Macaca mulatta: one gene and its partners. The protein of the gene in region 3 interacts with the protein of the main gene of each other region in a pairwise test. Links are inferred from orthologs where the notes say so. Each region holds a gene or a part of one and is shown on either strand. Other genes may lie near its edges.

What was found. The genes of interacting proteins can lie anywhere in the genome.
Region 1: the proteins of MYOG (region 3) and FTL interact in binary tests that used the Homo sapiens proteins (3 or more experiments, as listed by UniProt). The two-hybrid records come from large-scale screens. The link is inferred for Macaca mulatta from reciprocal best matches to the Homo sapiens genes MYOG and FTL.
Region 2: the proteins of MYOG (region 3) and POLR2C interact in a two-hybrid assay, tested with the Homo sapiens proteins (2 studies listed by BioGRID and IntAct). The link is inferred for Macaca mulatta from reciprocal best matches to the Homo sapiens genes MYOG and POLR2C.
Region 4: the proteins of MYOG (region 3) and H2AP interact in binary tests that used the Homo sapiens proteins (3 or more experiments, as listed by UniProt). The two-hybrid records come from large-scale screens. The link is inferred for Macaca mulatta from reciprocal best matches to the Homo sapiens genes MYOG and H2AP.

The regions. Positions count from the first base shown.
Region 1 is NC_133424.1:61,421,569-61,425,069, reverse strand, and holds FTL (ferritin light chain), read right to left. Parts: upstream 2,278-3,501; 5' UTR 2,077-2,277; coding exon 1,975-2,076; intron 1,814-1,974; coding exon 1,667-1,813; intron 1,298-1,666; coding exon 1,172-1,297; intron 680-1,171; coding exon 527-679; 3' UTR 501-526; downstream 1-500.
Region 2 is NC_133425.1:53,058,717-53,062,756, reverse strand, and holds the start of POLR2C (DNA-directed RNA polymerase II subunit RPB3), read right to left. Parts: upstream 2,801-4,040; 5' UTR 2,748-2,800; coding exon 2,662-2,747; intron 2,453-2,661; coding exon 2,403-2,452; intron 1-2,402. UniProt on the Homo sapiens protein: Core component of RNA polymerase II (Pol II), a DNA-dependent RNA polymerase which synthesizes mRNA precursors and many functional non-coding RNAs using the four ribonucleoside triphosphates as substrates.
Region 3 is NC_133406.1:60,809,055-60,813,354, forward strand, and holds the start of MYOG (myogenin), read right to left. Parts: upstream 2,801-4,300; 5' UTR 2,338-2,800; coding exon 1,792-2,337; intron 1,019-1,791; coding exon 937-1,018; intron 865-936; exon of another isoform or gene 663-864; intron 320-662; coding exon 198-319; 3' UTR 1-197. UniProt on the Homo sapiens protein: Acts as a transcriptional activator that promotes transcription of muscle-specific target genes and plays a role in muscle differentiation, cell cycle exit and muscle atrophy.
Region 4 is NC_133426.1:37,817,893-37,820,900, reverse strand, and holds H2AP (huntingtin-interacting protein M), read right to left. Parts: upstream 1,805-3,008; 5' UTR 1,034-1,804; coding exon 680-1,033; 3' UTR 501-679; downstream 1-500.

The DNA of each region.
Region 1 (3,501 bases), on a different chromosome or scaffold from region 3:
TTTTAGTAGAGGCGGGGTTTCTCCATGTTGGTCAGGCTGGTCTCGAACTCCTGACATCAGCTGATCGGCCCACCTGGCCTCATAATCACTCATTAAATAGTGCTGTTTCTGGCTGAAACCGAACAGATCTGTGTCCAGGTACCAACCTAGGTCTTAATTCAACTCCCTGGAGGCTATCTCTACCATCTGGGAGGGACAGTTAACAGCCAGGCAAGCAGAGAACCCTCAAGTTCAACACTACCCAGATAGCTTCTTGTCTTAGAAGAGATAAGAAAATGGGAGATGGGGCCAACTCCTCTTTCACTGGCATCCCCAACCCAGCCAGAAGCTTTATGAGAACAGATCCCACCTCATCTTCCATACCACACACAAAACCACCAACTGCATCAAAAAGCTTTATTTCCATTTGGTCCAAGGCTTGTTAGGGTCGTTAAGAAAGCTGCCTAGTGGCTGGAGGGAGAGGCTTAGGCAGAAGCCCTATTATTTTGCAAGGGGCCCTTCAGAAGTCGCTGGGCTCAGAAAGCTCTTAGTCGTGCTTGAGAGTGAGCCTTTCGAAGAGATACTCGCCCAGCCCAGCCTCCGGGCCGGCCAGCCTGTTGAGGTTGGTCAGGTGGTCACCCATCTTTTTGATGAGCTTCACTTCCTCATCTAGGAAGTGAGTCTCCAGGAAGTCACAGAGCTGAGAGAGAAGAGGGAGAAATTAGAAACCCGATCCCTGCCGGGCGCGGTGGCTCAAGCCTGTAATCCCAGCACTTTGGGAGGCCGAGACGGGCGGATCACGAGGTCAGGAGATCGAGACCATCCTGGCTAACATGGTGAAACCCCGTCTCTACTTAAAAAAAAAAAATACAAAAAACTAGCTGGGCGAGGTGGCGGGTGCCTGTAGTCCCAGCTACTTGGGAGGCTGAGGCAGGAGAATGGCGTGAACCTGGGAGGCGGAGCTTGCAGTGAGTCGAGATCCGGCCACTGCACTCCAGCCTGGGCGACAGAGTGAGACTCCGTCTCAAAAAAAAAAAAAGGAAACCCGATCCCTGGAAAAGAGGGAGAAAGAGCTGCCAGTTGCAGATTAAAATATGACAGGTGTTAAATGAGGCTCTGAAGGGAATTTGCCCAAAGAGAGCAAAGGCTTGAGGGGTATGGTTGGGTAGCCATGGATGCAGGGGGTACGTACATGGGGATCCGTGTGGGCAGAACCCAGGGCATGAAGATCCAAAAGGGCCTGATTCAGTTTTTTCTCCAGGGCCATGGCGGCTTTCATGGCATCCGGGGTTTTACCCCACTCATCTTCAGCTGGCTTCTATACAGAAGGGAGAAACGGCTTCAGAATACACACACTCGGCACATGGAACTAAACCTACATTTCCCAAGAATTGGTGGGGGTCAGAGGCCCAGGCCACAAAGACATGTGACAGCTTGTATTTATCACTCTCCGCACCCCGTCCTAGCTCTTACAGCTACACGTCCTTAAGTCTACGCAGCAGTGTGGACTGCCGCGTCCTGGGGGCACTGCACGACGTGCGCCTCTATTTCCAGCCGTAAAAGGGCTCACAAGACCGAACTCAATCTCCCCGAAGCCCACGCGACATCTAAGCCCTCAAATCAAGGCTCCTCGCGCGCACGGCCTGCTGGGAGATGTAGTCCGTTACCCTACCCACACACTAGTTACCTTGACGTCCTGAAAAAGAGCGCGGCCGCCACGCTGGTTTTGCATCTTCAGGAGACGCTCGTAGCCCTCGCGCTTCTCCTCGGCCAATTCGCGGAAGAAGTGGCTCACGCCTTCCAGAGCCACATCATCGCGGTCGAAATAGAAGCCCTAAGGAAAGAGATGGAGGGAACAACGCTTAGCGGGAGGCGAGGCCAAGGGGGACTCCGCCCTCTGTTTACTCGACCGGACAAAGAAGGCCGGCGCCTGCGCTGAGGGCCGAACGTGCGCAGCTGGGGGAAATTAGGGCCAGGGGCGTCCTGGGGACTCACCAGAGAGAGGTAGGTGTAGGAGGCCTGCAGGTACATATTGACCAGGCTGTTGACGGCTGCCTCCACGTCGGTGGAATAATTCTGACGAATCTGGGAGCTCATGGTTGGTCGGCAAGACGGAGCTAACCACAAAAACGGTGCTGGCAGGTCCCAGAAGCAGGAGATGGCCGAGAAGATGGTCCCGGAGGTTGCAAGTGGAGAGGAAATCGGAGGGCGCTCGGAGGCTGGAAGAAAGAGTCCCCGGATCTGTTCCGTCCAAACACTGTTGAAGCAAGAGACAGACCCGCGGGACCGCCGAACTGCGAGGGGACGTGGCTAGGGCGGCTTCTTTTATAGTGCGCTGGCCCTCGGAGGCGGGGCGCTCGGAGCGGGCTATCGGCCAATCTGCGGTGGCAGGAGGCGGGGCCGAAGGCCGTGCCTGACCAATCCGGAGCACACAGGAGTCTCAGCCCCCGCCCCAAAGCAGGGGGAAGTCACGCGCCTGCAGCGCGAGTGTGTTGTGAAATGGGGGCTTGCGGGGGTTGGGGCCCTGGGGCCGATTCGAGGAATGGAGGGTTTCGTGGGCGGGGGGGTGGGGGCTGGGGTTCCTCTGGGAGGCTATAGTTTTATGGGAGCATTGAGAGTCCTGTGAACTGATGACCCTGGGGTCCTGGGGGTGCCTCGGGAAAGTAAGTCAGATTGTGGGGTTTCGGAGGGCATGGATTTTTCTGGAACCTTGAGTGGGGGAGGGGCAACTCAGAGGTGCGGGGAGGACCTGTAGTTGCCTGAGGTTTGTGCTGCGAGATAAGGAGTCTCCGGATCCTTGGGAAGCTTGGAAGGCAGTGAGGTGGTATTTCTGGACCCCTGGGGATCTCTGGGAGACAGAGGGGTGCGAGGACTGGAGTCCTGGGCTTTACAGAGGTGGGAGTTCACGATGCAAACTCTATATTTTGGAGCCCTCCCCGGGGAGATCTTTAGGTCCTTGAGGTGCTCTGCAAGTTGGAAAGGGCAGTTGTTCTGGAGCCGTGGGGTTCCCCAGTGCGGGAAGCCCAGGAGGAGCATTGTATGAGGTAGGGTGACTTCTGGAACCCTGGACAGCCCTCGGAAACCCTCCAAAGACTGGCTGGGACTTTGGGGATACCTTGGAGCTCTTTTAAGGGCCCAGTCGTTTTCTGGGAGTGGAAATGGGGAGGAATGAAATGTCTGTTTCGAGCTTTGCGGTGTCTCTGGGACTGCGTGTCCTGGGGGCTGTTTTGGAGGCAACTCACAGACTCCGAGAATTCTCCTTGGCCCTGAAAACAGTGTCTCCGCAGTTGCCGTCGTGTCTTGCCTGACGTGTGCTCTTTCAGGCCCACAAAGAGAAGCCCTGCGTTGTGGACACACAGTCTGGGGACCTATGGACGAGACGTCTGTCTACAACTAATGCGTATTTTTTTTTTTTTTTTTTTTGAGACAGAGTCTGGCTCTGTTGCCCAGGCTGGAGTGCAGTGGCCGGATCTCAGCTCACTGCAAGCCCCGCCTTCCAGGTTCACGCCATTCTCCTGTCTC
Region 2 (4,040 bases), on a different chromosome or scaffold from region 3:
TTTTAAACATTCAACCAACAGACTTTTACTGAATTCCTTTAACGCACAAAGCATACTAAATATAGAACCCAATCCCTAGCAGCAATGAGCAGGTAGGAAGGTAAAGACGGTATTATCTATCACACACGCTTGACTTAAACACATATTTATTCATTCATAAACATTTGCATGGAACCAACTAAATCCAGGAATCAAATGGCATTGGAGCCCAACTGCCAAATGAGGGACACAGACACTAGGAACAGAGGTCGGAAGAGGACCTCCACATGCTAGGCCTCCACCTACTCTGTCCTGCTATGCTTCCCATTGCTTCCCCAGTCCAAGCCAACTAAGAGAACCCTGACCCAAGCTTTTCTGCCTCTTTAATCCCCCGGCCCCTTCCTCCAGCACACCCTTCCCCTCCTCACTGTACAGGTTAAGATCCTCTGTGCCTCCTAAAAACTAAGCCTTGCCTGCCCTCTATGCTACAGGTGTGGCACTCCCTCTCTTTCACCTCCTCTCTCATGAAACTCTCTTCAGACTTCCCTGAAGACACTTGTCATAGTGTGCCTTGTGTCACATTTGTGTATGTTATGTCTATACCCCAAGCTTCAGAAATTCCTTCAGGCAGGTGCTGGGATGTCTTTGTATTCCTAGCTTGGGTGCTCAACATTATTTGTAGAACTGAATTTGTGGGGAAAGAGGCATTTAGACTCAGAATGGCAGGGCTGCATCATGAAGTACAACTCCCTCACCTGACTCTTGACGAAACTGAGGTCCAGAGACATGAAGTGATTAGTCAGGGGGAGGTCCAGCACTCCAAGCTGAATTGAAGAAGTGACTGGGGGGCCGGGGTTGGTAGTGGATAAACTACAATGTTCTCTTGCCTAATCATTTGGCTTGCTTATTTCCTTAAAAGTCTAAATATTTGATGCCACATATTTCTTTTGCCTAACCCAAACTCTCTGGACCTGACTCTCGGAAATGCTTGAAGTATTTCATACAAGTATAATCAATGCATTAAGCACCTGGAGCAAAGTGGCTGGAACCAGACCAGAAATTGATGTTCCCTCCTCTAAGAGCCAACTGCACCATAGCTATGCTTCTCCTGAACTACTGATCAGTCTACCTTGCTTTAGTGTTGTCTGTGGATTCATCTCTCCCCCTGCAACCTCACTGTGGACTCCATGAGGGCAAAAACCATGTTCTCTACAGCTTTGTATTCCCAGAGCTTACCACCATGCCTGCCACTTACATGCTCCATAAATGCTGTTGAAGGAATAGATTAATAAAAAAGCCATCTACCAGCACTGAGCACTCACTAAACATAAAGCACTTATATGGATTACCTCACTTAATCCTTAACATTACCCTGATAAAGATCATTAGTGGCTGAATGTTACAGATGAGGAAACTGAAGTACGCAGAAGTTTAATAACTTGCCCAAGTTTCTCAAAAATAGTAACTGATGCAGCCATTAAAAAGAACGAAATAATGTCCTCTGCAGCAACATGGACGCGGCTGGAAGCCACTATCCTCTTTTTTATTCTCTTTTGTTTGAGAAGGAGTCTCAACTCTGTTGCGCACGCTAGAGCGTAAGAGGCATGATCTCAGCTCAATGCAACCTCCACCTTCCGGGTTCAATCAGTTCTGCCTCAGCCTCCCCAGTAGCTGGGATTACAGGTGTGCACCACCACACCCGGCTAATTTTTGTATTTTTAGTAGAGACGAGGTTTTCCCATGTTGGCCAGGCTGGTCTCGAACTCCTGGCCTCAGGTGTTCCTCAGCCTCGGCCTCCCAAAGTGCTGGGATTACAGGCGTGAGCCCGGCCTGGAAGCCATTATCCTAAGAGAATTAACACAGGAACAGAAAACCAAACACCGCATGGGAGTTAAAACTGGGCACGCATAGACATAAAGATGACAATATAGACACACTGGTGACTACTAGAGCAGGGAGGGAGGCAGTGGGGCTAGGAGTAAAAAACTACCTATTGGGTACTACGCTCACTACCTGGGTGAAAGGATCATTCATATCCCAAACCTCAGCATCACGCACTATACCCAGGCAACAACCCTGCACCAATGTACCCCCCTGAATCCAAAATAAAAGTTGAAAACATTTAAAAAACTTTTGTGACAATAGTAGTGAAAACAGTATTTGAACCCAAGTCTGCACACGGTTAAACCCATGCTTCTCAGCAATGCATACGCAGGACAACAGTGGACCTAAGTGGTCCGTGGGTGCCAGGGAGGCGGCCACTGGGCCAAGGGCACAGGGTATGGTCAAGTCTCCAGCAATGCACTTTTCTCAGCACTACCACCCTCAGCCCGAACCAAGGACTGGAAGGAGCCCCAGGGAGTGTGGGTGGAGAGCGGGGCAGGAACCCGTGGGCCCGGGAACGAGGAAGGGGGGTCGCTTACCTATTATGGGCACCTCAGCGATGAAGACCCTCCGAATCGAATTGGCCACCCTGAAAGACGAAAAGCCAAGAGGCGTGAAGGCGCTGCAGCCTCGACAGGCTGGGCCCGCGCCGCAGGCTCCCAAAGCTAAAGCCCTGGCGCAGGGGGGCAGCTCTGGAAGGACATCACCCCCACTCCACCCCCGCTCCCTGCCCCCGGGGCCCCGGCTTGGGCCTCCCGGCGCCCCAGAGCCGCCAGCCTCTTCCCTCGGCAGCCTTACGCCAGGTCGGTGTTCTCGATGATGAACTTCACATTCTCGTCAGTGAGCTCAGTGATCCGCACGGTGGGCTGGTTGGCGTACGGCATCGCTCCCCGTGGCCGCCAGCCTCCGCGTCAGCTCCGCGGTGACTGCGCCTGCGCCACCGCCGACACCGGAAGTCAGTCAGCGTGGCCTCCGCGAAGACGGCTCACAGCGCCGCCTGCTGCTCGGAGGCCGGAACCGCCGAGCGTCTTCTACCGCCTCCTGCTTTAAAATGTACCGGATTCAGCTATCTCGGAGGGTAGTTTGGCAAAACACGCGTACGTCCTCGACTTAACAGTAACATTTCTAAGAACTCATACTGCAGAAACACTTGCAGTTGTAAACAAAGATACGAGTGCAGGGACATTCATGGTAGTACTGTTTGTACTGTCCACTGATAAGAGACCTGGTGAAGTATACACACGTAGAATATCATGAAGCCCTTAAAAAGAACTTGTACATCTACAGAAAAACAAAAGTATATTTTAATATGAATGCATATTTTAGGAAAGTATACCTGAATTATAAGTAAATACCCTTTCCCTTGCAGTCTCAAGTATGGACCATGCACTTCTGAAAACTTCAGGAAAAGATATAATATTCTTTAACCTAATGCTTCCTCTGCAGTCTGTGTAGCTGCGGTGGGTGAGTGGGAGCTCTTTGTCTCTGCATCTCCAGTGCCTCGCAGTGGGCACCATGTGGGGTGCATGCTCAACCAACAACTACTGAAGTCCCCTAAACAGACTGGAGAGAGTCTCAAACTCTCAATGGGCCTCAAACAAAGTGGCGGCTGCTCCAACAGACAAAAGCTCTAAAATAGAACTTGACAGGAGCTACATTTAAGAGGTGGGAGAAGAGTAACCAGATAAAGAGTTTGCCTTTGCAAAGACTGACACCTCTTCCTGAGACAGAGGGTGGGCACTGATGGAACCCTGCTCCATAGCCTGTGTCATCTCTGTAAATTAAGAATTATGGTTGTCTGCTGAGTGTGAGATGGATGCTATGAAGGAAAAAGGAGAATGCAATGAAAACTGGAACAGCTACTGCAAAAACTTCACAGGATGTCAAAAGATACAAGGAATGAAGAGAGGTACAAAAAAGATCCAGTGGAAGACCCACAAGAGATCTGAAATTCAATTAGTTGCTGACTTCCCCCAATAATATTTAGCTGACTTAGGCAGAAGAGAGCAAAGCAGAAAACAGAGCTAACCAGACATGCAAAGGGAACCCAGCCAGTGTACAGGCTGAGAAAATTACTGGGGCTAAAGAATGTACCACTGAAATCGTCAGACAAGGGCAGCCAAGAGAGCTAATGGTCTGTGGGAAGGCTTCTGTTACCCCTATTTTACTGATGGGAA
Region 3 (4,300 bases):
AATGAGGGCATCCAGTACCTTGCTGGGGGGTGGGTTAACCTTACATGGATGAGGAAGGGGATAGTCTGGCCTATGGCACCCCAGAGCTGGCTTCCTAGCATCAGGGCAGCCTGGCTTAGGAGGCCCCTGCTACAGAAGCAGTGGCATCTGTGGTCAGCTTGGGGGGCTTGCAAGGATGCCTGGCTTGGCAGACAATCTCAGTTGGGCATGGTTTCATCTGGGAAGGCCACAGACACATCTTCCACTGTGATGCTGTCCACGATGGAGGTGAGGGAGTGCAGGTTGTGGGCATCTGTAGGGTCAGCCGTGAGCAGATGATCTGTAAGGGGAGGTGGGAAGGTGGTACCTGGGTGAGGAGTGGGGGTTCTTGAGGCCCAGAATAGAGGATGGGACCCTTGGGGTGACACAGGTTTTCCAGGACAGATGGGGGATAAAGCTCCGGAGTTCTACTCCCTAGTCCCTGCCTTTCCCCATGCTCTGTGTGTGTGTGTGTGTGTGTGTGTGTGTGTGTGTGTGTGCGCGCGCGCGCCTCTTCTCTGAACTCCCCTAGTGAGGTAGGGTTTGGAAGCAGTCACTCAAGTTGGAGCAGGATGGAGCTCCCCAGAGACTGGACCTGCCCTTTGCTCGGCCCGGTTTTGCAGCACTGACTCAGCACTTCGCAGGGACCCCTGGGGCAGGGACATTGTCCTCTCTGTGGAGAAGGTCAACCACCAGGCATCAGCTGGGGAGCTGCAGGAGCCACTATCACTCCTTTGCTGGTCAAGACTGCAGGGCTACACAGAACCTCCCAGCCCACCCTTTGGGTCCTGGAGTCAGCAGGTCCCTGGAGAGACCCAAGGGAAGAGGACCGGAGCAAGGAATAAGGTAAGAGGGAAGAACGCCCAGGGAGGGACTGAGGGATTGGAGTCAAGGTTACCAGGGTCAAGCCTCACTTACCCCCGGGGTTGGCGCCGAACTCCAGTGCGCTGCCCCACTCTGGACTGCAGGAGGCGCTGTGAGAGCTGCATTCGCTGGGCACCTGCAAGACAGGGCGAAGGCCCAAGGTCGGGGCACAGCCGTTCTTTGATGTGTCTCTCTGCCTAGTCCCAGTGGGCAGAAGCACCTGTGGTGGGGTTGGAGGGTGGGCCACAGGCTGTGGCCTTCCAGCCCAGGCCATCCCCAACCCCAGAATCTTAGTAACCAGCTCCTCTCATGTCCTAGAGGCCCTGCTTCCAGGCCTTCTTGGCTTCCATCCTGAGTGGTGGTTCTGCCCTCACAGGACCCCAGGTTAAAGGTCCCTGGTTCTCCTGACTCTGGTGATAAGGGTGATGGAGACAGATTTTCTGGCCCAGTGAAGGTCACTCTGTGCAGGCCTGCTGGAGTTCCAATGAGACTGAGTGGGTTTTCTCTCTGCTCAGCCACACCCAGGATGGGGGTGGGGCAGGGGGCAAAGCAGCCTTCTCTGGTGAACTTGGCCTGGCTTTTTAGGCTCTGACTCAGGCTCTGCGATTAATCCTCACCCTTACCCGGGCTGACTGTGGCCTTGCTCCTGATCCTTTCTTCAGTCCTGTGTTCCCCACCCCCACCCTTTCTGCACTTCCTCCTCACTGCCTCTATCTCGTCTGGAAAGAACACAGGACACAGGGGGTCAGCTGGATAGCCCAGCTCTGACCAGGGAAGGGCTCCTGAAGCCCCTCGACCCTGTCTGGCACCTGCTCCAACCCTCTGAGCCCCTCTTGGGGTCTTGAGGCTGTCCAGGTGCCTCCCTCTGGCCCCCTCCCCCTGGGGCAGGGGGACGGGATGGCCACTTACCCCTGGCTGGGGCCCACCCCCGCCCCGGTAGCGGAGGTCACGCTCCTCCTGGTTGAGGGAGCTGAGCAGGGTCTGGAGGCGCTCGATGTATTGGATGGCGCTGCGCAGGATCTCCACCTTGGGCAGCCGCTGGTTGGGGTTGAGCAGGGTGCTCCTCTTCAGGGCCTCGAAGGCCTCATTCACCTTCTTGAGCCTGCGCTTCTCCCTCAGTGTGGCCGCCCGCCGCCGGTCCACGGACACCGACTTCCTCTTACACACCTTACACGCCCACGGAAGGCACTGGCCCGGACAGTGCTCGGGGGTGCCCAGCCCCTTGTCTTCGAGGGGCCCTGGGGTCTCGGGGCTCAGGGTGAGCTCCGTCCGCTCATAGCCTGGTGGCTCGAAGCCCTGGAGGTGGACAGGCAGGTAGTTTTCCCCGTCATAGAAGCGGGGTTCCTGGTAGAAGTAGGGGGATGTCTCATACAGCTCCATGGGGTCAGAAAAGGCTTGTTCCTGCCACCAGACCCCAAGCTCCTGCAGCCCCTCACGCCAACTGCTGGGTGCCATTTAAACCCTCCCCGCTGGCATGGAACCAGAGATAAATATAGCCAACGCCACAGAAACCTGAGCCCCCTCTAAGCTGTTGCTGCACATCAAGACGTTTACAGTGGATTAGATGTGATTCCCCTTCTCTCTCCCCCATGGCCCCCACCCCACCCAGCCAGCCTGTCCCTGGCCCAGGCGGGCTCCTGTGCACGGGTCGGGAGGCCGTCGGGTGTAATTTGATTAGTTTTCATTTCTCAGCAGCCCCTGTGGGGCAGGGGCATTGGGGGAGGACACATTCCCCTCTCATCTGCTCCTTTCAATTACTCCTAGCTGGGCGGCCTGCCTGCTCTCTCCTTGCTAGTCCCCAAGAAGCTGGTGGGTGTAGGGGGAGGAGGGAACAAGGAAGGGTAGGCTTAGGCTGGAAGAGGCCTTAAGAGCCAACTTATCCATCTCCCTGCTTCCTGACAGCACCTTAACCACACTACATCAGTCGATGAGACTCTTAAAGACCTCCCTCCCGAAAGAATGGGACTGCTTCAGATTCTGGGCATTCATGGGCACTCAGTATCCAGGGATAAAAGGGATCAAGACTCAGAGCAGCTAATAGATTCCACTTTTGGGGTTCCCAAGCAGCTCTGACCTGTATGTTCTCTTAGGTCTCATGTGATGGGGGGTAAGTTGAGGCAAGAGAAATTATTTGGGTTTTGGTTTTCTTGGCAGGGGTCAAGAGAAATTTTCTCTTTAATACAGCGGCCGTGGTCAGAGCAGAGATTAGAATTTACAGCTTACACGTGCCACCTTCCCCAGAGCCGCAAGGTCAAGATGTACTAAGCTCCCTGTCTCCTCCCTGTCTCACTCCGGACCATTGATCTGTCCTTCTATGTTACCTCCTCAACTCTTTTTCCAACACCAGAATTTTCCTGACTCATTACTGTGGATGGGGGTGAAAAAGGAGAAAAAACAGAGCCCTTCAAACTCAGTTTAAATCTCTTCTCTCCTTGGCCATCGGGCTTGGTTGTTCTGCCTCTTCATCTGAGCCATCAATTTTACATGTATCATGCAGGTCTCAAATGTCAGGTGGAGCAGGGACTGTATAATCTTCGGGCCTCTCAGGCCATGGTCACCTCTCAGTAGGTGCCTCAGGGTCTGAGAGGACAAATTCTTTCCAATGCAGTGGGCAGACCTCAGACACCAGCAGTGAACAAGGCTCAGTCTTAGGGCTGGGGATTATAGGGACACCCCAGACAGGGTCCCTGCCCTTGACCTTACCATCTGGTAGACAATGGTGGTCACCTCTTTCTACCTAGCCCCTGATGACCGAATCTCCTCCCAGGCAACCACTGTTCAGCTTCTGCTCACGTCAGGAGACAGCCCCTTCCATTGACGTGCAGCTTTGAGCTGCAATCTTCTCCCTCTATCTTTTACCCTTTGTTCCTAGTTTTTTCCCTTAGGCCCCATAGACCAAGTCTGATCTGTCCTGCTCCTCATCCTATGACAGATCAAAATGACAAGTTCAAGCCGGTGGCAAGGACAATGAGAGGAAGGGGAACCCTGCTGGGGACTCAGGGGAGATTACAAGGGAGATGAGATCTGTGCAGCATGTGAAGAACCAGTGTTCCTTCCTCTCATTGTTCACAGCAGGGAGCCAGGAGAATTCTGATGTCCTTTTGGGATAGGAAACGGGGGGAAGGAGGGAACATAGCTGAACAATAAAAGAGCCCTAAGCATGTTGAGGGAGAACAGTGAGGTCTTAATTCTGTTCTTGGCCTTACCAGCATGATAGAAAGTAGCAGCATAGACTGGGTGTGGTGGCTTATACCTGTAATCCCAGCAGTATGGGAGGCCGAGGCCGGTGGATCATGAGGTCAGGAGTTCAAGACCAGCCTGGCCAAGATGGTGAAACCTCGTCTCTACTAAAAATACAAAAATTACCCGGACATGGTGGTAGGCACCTGTAATCCCAGCTACTCAGGAGGCTGAGGCA
Region 4 (3,008 bases), on a different chromosome or scaffold from region 3:
ATCCCTGTCTCAAATCCTCTTTCATAATAAGTCAGGGCATAAAGAAATAAGAAATGAAATCCAGCAGGCCATCATTTCTTTTTTGCATTTTTCATCATGGTTTCTCCTTCACTCTCAATCTCCATGTAAAGTCCCTATCCCATGAACTTCATGCCAGCCAGTGTGCCCCCTCTCCACCCGCCCCTGTGGCCACCACCCTCTGCCTCCTGCACTTCAGTCAGAGTCTGCAGCTCCACCCCAGGCCCCAGCATCAGGCTGGGAATTCAGCAAGCCTCAGAGGCCCCCAGCCAACTCCCCGGCCTCACAAGGCCTTCCTGTTCAGAGGCAATTAGGAAGTCTCGGTGTCTTTATCCCAGCCAGTTCCTCCCCACAGGGCCCGTGCCCTCTCTGTCACCGTTGGAAACTGCCCCCTCTAAATCACTGATTCAAACACTCCACACTGGCCACCACTTCCCGCCCCCCCCCCCAACTTCAGCTCTCTGGGGATAGCTTCTCCTTGATGTCTCACAGACACCTACAACCCAAAAAGACGGAAACTGGAAGGAGTCAGAAACATACTCATGGATTTACATCCTTTAGTAGCACTTGTTGATGACAACAGCAGATATTCCTCAGCTGTGACACATTTTTGCCCTGGCTAAGCCTGTGAGGATCCCCTCAAGGCTCTGGGACCCAGTCTTCAGTCATTCTTTCCGGATTTGGGCATCTCATCAAACACAAAGCGGGTTCCATCACTCTCAGTGCGGTGGGGCTCATGGTGGTTGTCCCCTTCTCTCTCCCCATCTTGTGAAGTGTTGCGCATCCTGCCATTGTTGATGGCCTCCAAGCCTACCTGCTCCATGATGTAGTCAGCAAGGCAATCGAGCAGGGTAAGGAGGATATTTATTGTGGAGGAACTCTGGCTTTGGGCATCTTGTTCATCTTGCACAACTCGGTCCACGAAGCTCATAGGGACCCGCAGCTCATTTCTAGACCGGTCTTGAATCTGGTTGTTATTTGCAGAGGAGTTCTTACGGTTATTTTTCTCTGACATGATATTTGCTGGGTTTGGCTCTGATCAGCTCTGCTTGATTCTCCAGCTCAAGTAAGTCTCTGAGGACGCTGGTGCTGCCTATTGGATCCCTCTGCTCCAGGCCCTGATTGGTCAGGGAGCTAGCTGCCTTTGTGACATCCCTAGGCTTTGTGATTTCACTGGTGTCCACTGGTCCCTGATCAGACCTCAGCTTAGAAATGTCTGTGACACTGATCTAGTCACCCTAATGACTGAACCCTGATTTTGAGGGAACTATAACTCTTTACCTGATTTTGACATTATAAAAATAAAAGTGTGTTTCAATGGAAAACTTTGCTCTATCTTTAGGACACCACTGCAGGTTATCTGATTCTAGCCTTACATTATCTGTGAAGTCTTTTATAGCCTTTTGTTAGTTGTAGGTGGCTGATACGTGTACAGTATATTCTTTAGTAGAGGTTCAGTTGTCTTCACCTTATGAAACCAGTTTTGCCTCCATGTGCACAATCATTTAATATTACTGATGAATATTCCCATATCGACTCTTTGGTTTCCCTTTTGAAGCAGTCATAACATCTTTTTCTTGTAGCATGTGTTCATTTCGTATCTGTATGAGTGTCATGATTTTACCCTATTTGAAAAATGCATTTTATTTATTTTTTTATTTTTATTTTTTATTATTATACTTTAAGTTCTAGGGTACATGTGCACAATGTGCAGGTTTGTTACATATGTATACATGTGCCATGTTGGTGTGCTGCACCCATTAACTCGTCATTTACATTAGGTATATCTCCTAATGCTATCCCGCCCCCCTCCCCCCTCCCCACAATAGACCCCAGTGTGTGATGTTCCCCTTCCTGTGTCCAAGTGATCTCATTCTTCAATTCCCACCTATGAGTGAGAACATGCAGTGTTTGGTTTTCTGTTCTTGCGATAGTTTGCTGAGAATGATGGTTTCCAGCTGCATCCATGTGCCTACAAAGGACACGAACTCATCCTTTTTTATGGCTTCATAGTATTCCATGGTGTATATGTGCCACATTTTCTTAATCCAGTCTGTCACTGATGGACATTTGGGTTGATTCCAAGTCTTTGCTATTGTGAATAGTGCTGCAATAAACATACATGTGTATGTGTCTTTATAGCAGCATGATTTATAATCCTTTGGGTATATCCCCAGTAATGGGATGGCTGAGTCAAATGGTATTTCTAGTTCTAGATCCTTGAGGAATTGCCATACTGTTTTCCATAATGGTTGAAAAATATATTTTAATCATTTTTCAATTAATAATAAGATGCTCAATAAGTTTACCTGTCAGTGTCAGGTAAACAGTTGATAGGGAAGTGCATCTTTTTTTTTTTTTTTTTTTTTTTTTTTTTTTTTTTTTGAGACGGAGTCTCGCTCTGTTGCGTAGGCTGGAGTGCAGTGGCCAGATCTCGGCTCACTGCAAGCTCCGCCTCCTGGGTTCACGCCATTCTCCTGCCTCAGCCTCCCGAGTAGCTGGGACTACAGGCGCCCGCCACCTCGCCCGGCTAGTTTTTTTTTTTTTTTTGTACTTTTTAGTAGAGATGGGGTTTCACCGTGTTCGCCAGGATGGTCTCGATCTCCTGACCTTGTGATCCGCCCGTCTCGGAGAAGTGCATCTTGTGCTCAGTTTAAGCCCAGATGTATATTTCTTGTCTCTCCTAGGTGAAGCAAAAGCACTAAGAGATGTTTCTTTTCTATTATTTAATTTTCCTTTCTAGTAATTCTGTGTTTTCCCTTTGACTTTGGTTCATTTACAGCCAATAACTTTGCCATTCCATAGGGGAAAAAGTAGAAAGAACAAAAGAGTCTTAAATCCAAACAATTTCAAAATCCAACCATTAGGTTTCAAGGCCTGGGAATATTCTATGACTTAAGACTCCTCCCTTTGATCACTCTGATCCTATGACTTCACCTGGGGTCATAAATCTGCCCTCTGGCCTCTAGGTTCTGCCCTCAGTCATTGTT